2 linked regions of the Macaca fascicularis genome follow. The protein of the gene in region 1 purifies or fractionates together with the protein of each later gene. This does not show direct contact. Links are inferred from orthologs where the notes say so. Each region holds a gene or a part of one and is shown in the gene's direction. Other genes may lie near its edges. The genes, in order: RNF25 and UBE2E2.

Region 1 (4,358 bases):
CTTACTACATGGTGTGCTAGAGACTAATAATAATAATATTTGTTGTTTACTAAGAGCCAGGCACTGTACTAACTGATTTAATGTGACAACATACTTAATCTCAAATGCCATCAATCAGTTGCTGTTCTTATCCCCATTCTAGAGATGAGGAAATTGAGACATAGAGAAGTTAAGTAATTTGTCCATAATTCTAGGGTTAGAAAGCGGTGGAGATGGAACTTATACCCAAATAATACAACTTCAGAGCTTATACTCCATAAGAAGTATGAGAGAGTCAATGCCTTAGGAATATAAACTGGTATACATACATCCCTTCTAGACCCATTTTCCACTGGAGTTGGGGGTACCAAATCCCACCCAAAAGGTATCCCTCTTTGTACAATACCTGAGCACTGTATTTTCTTCGACCCTTGTACACCCTCCCAAAAGAGCCTTCTCCAATCATCTCCAACACGTGGTACTTTTCCATGACAGAGGTTTCAGAATCTCTTAGAAGGAAAAAGGTAGAGACGGTGAAGAGCTATAGATCCAGGGACAATTCCACAACATCTGGGAGGCCTAGTTGGGGCATGGGAAAGGAAAAATGTTAGCCACCTTGCCTTTTCTCTTTTTCACAAAGACCAAGCCTCAAAAAACATGGGAGGGTAGAATGACGCAAAGGTGATGCGATCTTGGAACAAACACAGCATCTCTTTGTAGTTCCTCTCCACTTTCAGCCTCCTGTCCCCAACCCGGCCCCATGCCCACCTGACACCTGGTCCCCCTTCTCCCTCACCCAGCTTGGCCCACTCGACCCTGCTCTCTTAACCTAGCATCGCCCACCCAACCCTGCTCCTTCGAGTCTCCCCCAAGTTCCTGCCACTCCCAGATTCCTCAGCACCTGCTCTCAGACCCCCTGGCCCATGCGCTTCGCAAGCCAGGGTCCCTCTCTCATCCCCAGCCTAGGAGATCCAAGCTCCTCAGGCCCAGGGACGGATTCCCTGGCCTTTAGCCCCATATCTTCTGGCTGCCTGCATACGTTGCCTGACTTACAATTCTTCTCCACCCGCCCCTCGCGCCAGTCTGTTTTGGCTCCCTTTCTAACAATTTCACTCGCTAGAACTGGTGAGAAGTTCAGAGGACAAAGGCGCTCAGAGGTGTGGGAGGGACGGCGGACCACACATGGGCACTTCCTGGGACGCATCCGAACTGCCTCTGGGCCGTCAGGCCCGGCTAAGGACCCGGAGTCTGCGGTTGCCTAGAAACGACGCTAGCTGCCCACCCCTCTTAGTTTTCCGCCTCCGACTTCCCTAAGGGCATTTCCGGTTCCGGCTGCGGGCCGGTGAAGACATGGCGGCGTCTGCGTCTGCAGCTGCAGGGGAGGAGGACTGGTAACTTCGGGGGCATGGGCTTTGGCTGACAGTCTGGATCTAGTCCAGAGGCCTAGCAGCTGTCGCAGACGGTCCGTACGGCGGGCGTGTGGGGTGGAGCGAAGGATGAGGGATGGCAGAGATGCTGACATCTCCTCTGGGAGATCTTCTAGACTGGGGAACGGGAGGGTGGAGGGGCGCTGATCTGAGTGAGAAGAGACCGGGTCTGCGCCCGCCAGACCAGTTCAGGCCTCGCCTTATCCGGTTCGATCCCCTTTCCTCCAGCTTCACGCTATCCCTTTCTATGCTCCTCAAATGAATTTTCTCAGGGGCTTTGGGGGATGCCTGCCCGTCAGACCTCCCCATCTCCCTTTCGCCTCTCAGAACTAGTGCCCTCCGGTTCGGTACCCCTTTCTCCTTGGATCAGCGTTTTTCCGCCGACGCTTTCCTCAACCTTCTCTCTCCCACACAGCACTAGTGAGGACTATTGTCTGAATAAAGCTTTACACCTCACATAAAGTCCCTCTAGTCCTTCTCTCAAGCATTCTTAACTAAAGACTAGAACATGGAAGGACTCTGGGATTTGGAAGTAGGATCAATGTGGGTTAACTCCGCATTTTATTAGCTGTGTGATGCTGACCAGGCCATCTAGCTTCTGTGAGTCAGTGTCCTCAGCTGTAAAAACAAAGTGGGTGTGGTATTTACCTCAGAATAGTTGAGAGGATCACGATGGATTTGTAATATACTTAAGTCTGTTTTTTTGTTTTGTTTTGTTTTGTTTTGTTTTTTGAGACAGAGTCTCACTGTCGCCCACGCTGGAGTGCGGTGGTGCGATTATGGCTCACTGCAGCCTCAACCTCCCCAGGCTCAGGTGATCCTCTTGCCTCAGCCTTCCAAGTAGCTGAGGCTACAGGTCTGTGCCACCATGCCCAGCTAATTTTGTATTTTTTGTAGAGACAGAGTTTTGCCATGTTGGCCAGGCTGGTCTTGAACCCCTGGGTTCAAGTGATCCTCCCACCTCAGCCTCCCAAGGTGCTGGAATTACAGGCGTGAGCCACCACACCCGGCCTCCTTTTCATTAATAACTGAGGTGCAGGCACCTGGGAAGATTAGATGAGCCCCAAAGAAGTAAAGTGATTTGCCAAAAGGTGGAAAATTGCGACTAGAAATCCACATCTATCTGACTCCACACCTTAGATTCTTTATACTAGGACATTCTTCAATCCCCTCTCCCCCATTTTGTTGTCACCACCTTACCAGCATCCCATCCAGGACCCACATAACTAGGGTAGGCAAAGTATTGAAGGGCCACTTGACTGAGGCTACACCTCAGTGTTACATTGGTTCAGGGAGCCCTGCTAGTACTGGCCTTTATTAAGACTATCTAGACTACTGGTTTTCAAAGTGTTCAGGGAAACTTTTTCTTTTCTTTTTTTAAGAGACGGAGTCTTACTTTGTCACCCAGGCTGGAGTACAGTGGCAAGATCATGGCTCATTACAGACTCAACCTCCTGGGCTCCAGCGATTCTTCTGCCTCAGCCTCCCAAGTAGCTGGGACCACTGTGTCCAGCTAATTTTTTATTTTCTGTAGAGATAGTCTCGCTTTGTTGCCCAGGCTGGTCTCGAACTCCTGGCCTCAAGTGATCCTCCCACCTCAGCCTCCCAAAGTGCTGGGATAACTTATAGTTGACCTGTTCAGGGGAACTTTTAAGATTCAGGGGAGACACCTTGAGCCATGGAGAGAACAACAGTGAGTGCAGCAGCCTGTAGTGCTGTGAGACTCCCATCCCATGTCAGCCAAAACTACACTATTTTCTGTGAGGTGTAAAGCTTTGTATTTTATATTTTGAAGTTTCTGCCTAAGACTTAACAACAACTGACATAAGTCATGCTGGAGCAGCCTTACTCTTAGAATGAAGAGAGAGCAGTATGAGAAAGGAAAGTATGCATTTTTCCATGTATCACCTGGTAGAGCTGTAGACACAAACTGATCACTCAGCTTCAATTTCAATACAACTACTGTTTCTATGCTTAAGCATGTGTGTCCTCTGATTTACATCGGAACATGGATGCTAACCTCAACAGGCTGATGTAGATCAACCAGACAGCCAGGGTCATAAATACATCCAGAGTACTCTACTACCTCCCTCCTTCCCTCTTCCTTCTAAGGGAGAAGGTTATATACAGACGGGAAGAAAAAGAGGATGTAGACTAGCTACTATAGCCCAGATACTATTAGGTACTTTATATAAACAAATCACCTTTTATCCTCATAGTAACCCTAGAGAGTAGGTGTTATCATCTATATGTGATAGACAGGATAACTTAAGCTTACAGAGAGGTCACTTCCCAGATCGCATAGCTTGTAAGTGATTGGTACCTGTTACTAACTCCGAGGCTGCTGGCTTTTCCATTACAACACAGCCTTTACACCACCCTAGACCTGTTGTGTTGAGGTTGCTATCTCCTTTAAGAAGGCTTAGGGTGACTGGTGTTAAAAGTGTATGTAGACGGTAGCCAAGGCACTGGGATCCACACTGGACATTGATGTAGGGAAAGGCTGGAGTAATATTGGTAACGTTAATGCTAGTAAATGGGTGCCATACCTCTAGACCAGAAAGTCAGCCACTAAGGGGAATGAAACTTAAACAGGGAGTCAGGAAACCCGACTCTGGGCCCAGTTCTACCTATGTTAAGCCTTGGTTAGTCATTTTATTTTTCTGGAATCCACTTCTTCATCTCTTGGCAGAAATAATGCTTAAAATTCTGATTTTTGTGCCTCCTATTTGGCCAGTTGAAAACTTAAGGTAACATTTTCCTTGTTTTTAAGGAGTTTAGCAGGAAAATGCATTCTGGTAGATTGCCATTTTTCTACAAAGCCCGCGTTTATTGGCCTTAGCAGGCTTCCACAGGGAGAGTTGTAATGGAAAGTCAGTCTACTCCTGTCTCTCTAGGGTCCTTCCCTCTGAAGTTGAAGTGTTGGAGTCCATCTATCTGGATGAACTACAG
Region 2 (3,816 bases), on another chromosome or scaffold:
TCATGGAACAGATTGCTCCTGGTTTAAAATGTATAAAATGATTTCTCACTCATTTCACATTTCTTAAGGTATCGCTGGCAGCATTTTGCTGTATCTGAGCACCTTTCCCTGAGGATTGTTCTCGTTTTCACTGTCATGCGTGCTGCCCTAACTGATATGCCATTATGTACATACTTAGAAGGTTTTAAACTTCTGATATATTTTAACTGAAAGAGGTAAGGTGAAAAAAAATTAAATCCAAGAATGAGAATTTAGAGTAAAATAAAAATGAAAAAAAGCAAGAAATATGTTATGACTTTTAGAGCTAGATGTGAAACATACTGATAAAAAATTTCAGTATTCTATTAAGTGACTTTAGTGCTCATAAAAGATGTCACAGCTGTGGAGACTGGTGCTCTCCATTTACAGAATAGGTAGAAAAGTAGTCAGCTTTTCCATTAGTATGTTTCAGAGCTGTTGAGGCAGACCTGTTTTTGTGTGGCATGAGGAGCTGTTGGGGTTGAAGGGGTGCTGGTGGTGGTGTGTGTGGCGTGTCAGTGAAAGGATTCACTATTTTCTGTTGACTCTTTGCGGCTCTGTGCTTCGTGATGCCTCCATTCTTTTGCAGTGCTTTTTGGTTTGTCTTACAAAAATTTCAGTCTATTAAAGATCGGTGTTACAACATTGCTTTGGCTTGGAGCAGACTACAAGTTAAATCTTTAGTAATGATGAATTTTCATCAGTGTCAAATAGCTATCCATTTGGACTAAATTGTAGTAATTAAAAATTTTGCTTTATTTGAGGTATCTTTACCTATTCTTATTGATCATATCAGAAACAGTTTTATTTCAAGTCGTAATTTGAATAAGAATAATCAAAAGGATCCATTTCAAAAGGAGTTTGTTCAGTGTACCTCTAATTTTTAAAGGTATTTTTTTTGTTGTTAATGGTACTTGTTAAGTATAGGTATTTGTTTTTAAAGAGGTGTCTGAGAAGGTAGCTATACAGTGCTCAAAGTGATTATTAGGTGACAAAACTGTGGTGAGCACAAGACCTTTTAGAGTCTGGGCATGGGTTTTGTTGGTTCAGTTCTGGATTTGTCAGAACACTGTAGGCTAGTCAGCTCGTAAGGGATGTATTCGTAGTCATCAAACTCAGAAATTGATTATGGTAGAATGACAGTTGAGAAGAGATACTCCTCTTCTCTTACTGGAATTGTTTGTGTCTCCTGTCTAGATTATAACAGCTACCTAAATATCAAGCTATTGAGGAAATTGAGTTGGTAATCAGAGCTGCTTGGGGAGCCTGAACTCAGAGCAAAGGGAATTTGAATGCCTTGAGGGATATTTTAGCCAGACTGTGGGGAAAAGAAAAAAAAAATTCTTCAGTGTCTCGCCATCTCTTGTGAAATATGGTTGCTTTAGTATATAGCTGAATCAGTGCTGATGCCGTCGTATGGTTCAATTTTTATTTAGAATCATGCAGTCATGCAGGCCTCTGTGTTCTTCTGTTATCACAAAGGTTACTTAAAACAATTTACTAGTTTGGAGAATTTTAACCTTAGCCCAGCTCTGAGGATGTATTGATGGAATAGGGATTTGAAAGAATCCTCCCATTTTTCTGTTCCCACAACTATTTGTACTAACCTTCGTTTTTGTACTTAGCAAGTTGGCTAGTCCAGGTTTTTCACAGTTGTGGGACCAAAGGGTTTAGCACAGCACCTGGTAGAGAGTAGACCCTTAGTCATTTTTTTCTTATTTTTTGTAACAGCATTATTGATATGTGATTCACAGACTATAAAATTTACCGTTTAAAAATGTACAACTCTGTAGTTCTTAGAATATTTATTATTAGAATTGAGCAACATTATCATTATCTAATTTAAGAACATTTTTATCACCCCACAGGGAAGCATCCTACCCATTAGCAGTCAGTCTTCACTGCTCTCCCCTCACTCCCTGGCAACCACTTACCCATTTTATTTTATTATTATTATTATTTTGTTTTGAGACAGGGTCTCTCTCTGTCACTCAGGCTGGAATGCAGTGGTATCAATCATATTTTTATTTTTTGTAGAGATCGAGTCCTGCTATGTTGCCCAGGCTGGTCCTGCCTGGGCTTCCCAAAACATTGGGATTTACAGGCGTGAGATTTACTACTGAATTTGATGTTTATGAATTTGCCTATTCTGGACATTTTATCTAAATAGTCAGCTTGTGGTGCTTTGTGGCTGGCTTCTTTCACTTACAGAATGTTTCAAGGTTCATCCATTTTGTAGCACGTAGACACTGTATTTCATTCTTTTTTATGGCTAACAGTACATTATGTGAATATACTACTACATTTTGTTTATCCATTCATTCGTTAGTGGATATTTGAGTTGTTTCCAGTTTTGGTTATTATGAATAATGTTGCTGTGAACGTTTCATGTATAAATTTTGTATGTTTTTGTTTTACAATACATTTTGAATGGATGAAGGAAAAGTTTTAGCAAGTCCCAAAGCTGCATTGTTTTGTAAATGACCAATTTAATCCGTTTTATATTGAGATTTACTTGTTTTACTTTGAGATTCATTCTCTGTGTTCTGGAGGTAGCTTACTGTAGTCGTCCTCACAGCTGAGTAAATGATTTTTGATTCTTTAATCCAGGATCTAAAATGTCCACTGAGGCACAAAGAGTTGATGACAGTCCAAGCACTAGTGGAGGAAGTTCCGATGGAGATCAACGTGAAAGTGTTCAGCAAGAACCAGAAAGAGAACAAGTTCAGCCCAAGAAAAAGGAGGGAAAAATATCCAGCAAAACCGCTGCTAAATTGTCAACTAGTGCTAAAAGGTATCTCAGTTATTATAACCTTTTTATTTTTGGTATCAGTTTATCATCTTAAGTTCTGTTTTTCTCTTGCATTTAATCATTTTTTCCGTGATTGTCAGCCATGAACTTCGTGGATTTTTCTTTCCCTTTCAAGATGATCTCTTTTACATGGTTTTAGCCATAGGGAACTTCAGTATTTAAAGTCAGTTAAATGGCATGGCAGATTCATAAAATACATTTCCATAGTGTGTTTGTGTGTTTGTGTATTATTAGGGAAGCATATACAGGGCGTGCATGTAAAGTTGCAGTGGTTTCATTTATGGTTACTTGACCATAAATATTTTTTTTCTGTTCCGTAACACAAAATAGAGATTAGGAATCTTTTGAAGTGGTTATTGAGTGAGTGATAGTTTATTTTCCACTACTCCCAGTTGGTAGAGTCAGAAATGCTGACATTAGCGACAAGTGCATCTTGGTTTCATTACATTAGTCAGTGGATCCATCTTGATACAGATTTTTCTCTTTCTCTGGAGAATAGATGGATCTGGAAAGTAGGTATTTGAATGGTCTTCTTTTGGTACATCAATCTCTTAAAATGATTGGCATGTCAGTGGACTTAGAGGGAATCTGTTTTGATATTGTTACATTATAGAATATCTCTTGGAAAATAATTTGAAAGATAAAGTAGTGTCTTTTCTGATCCTGTGATTTTATGTTCTTGCTTTGTTTTCATATGTTTTATATTGCCCAAATAGGAAGTATAAATAAAAGCGATCTGTAACTTTTAGGCATAGTGGAATGCCTGAATGTTGAATTACAGCTTTATATGTTATTTTATGGTGTGGATTAAGGGGAACTCCTTTCTCAAAGATAAGAAACCATTATTATGTTCTAGTAGACCTTGTTTCCCTTTGGCTTAGTCAGTCTACAGGATTGGAAAGAACCTTCTCAGGCCCCTTGGTGAGAGATGTTGGAGGATGGTGAGTGGTTATTCCAAGGTACTAGAGTATTCAGTTTCCCTTTCC

What was found.
Region 2: the proteins of RNF25 (region 1) and UBE2E2 purify together in Homo sapiens (affinity purification with mass spectrometry; 3 studies listed by BioGRID and IntAct, counting the BioPlex papers as one, with this or other methods). This does not show direct contact. The link is inferred for Macaca fascicularis from reciprocal best matches to the Homo sapiens genes RNF25 and UBE2E2.

The regions. Positions count from the first base shown.
Region 1 is NC_088386.1:114,599,051-114,603,408, reverse strand, and holds the start of RNF25 (E3 ubiquitin-protein ligase RNF25), read left to right. Parts: upstream 1-1,297; 5' UTR 1,298-1,329; coding exon 1,330-1,370; intron 1,371-4,303; coding exon 4,304-4,358. Other genes in the region: STK36 (serine/threonine-protein kinase 36), read right to left, coding at 386-469. UniProt on the Homo sapiens protein: E3 ubiquitin-protein ligase that plays a key role in the RNF14-RNF25 translation quality control pathway, a pathway that takes place when a ribosome has stalled during translation, and which promotes ubiquitination and degradation of translation factors on stalled ribosomes.
Region 2 is NC_088376.1:25,157,458-25,161,273, reverse strand, and holds part of UBE2E2 (ubiquitin-conjugating enzyme E2 E2), read left to right. Parts: intron 1-2,628; 5' UTR 2,629-2,636; coding exon 2,637-2,812; intron 2,813-3,816.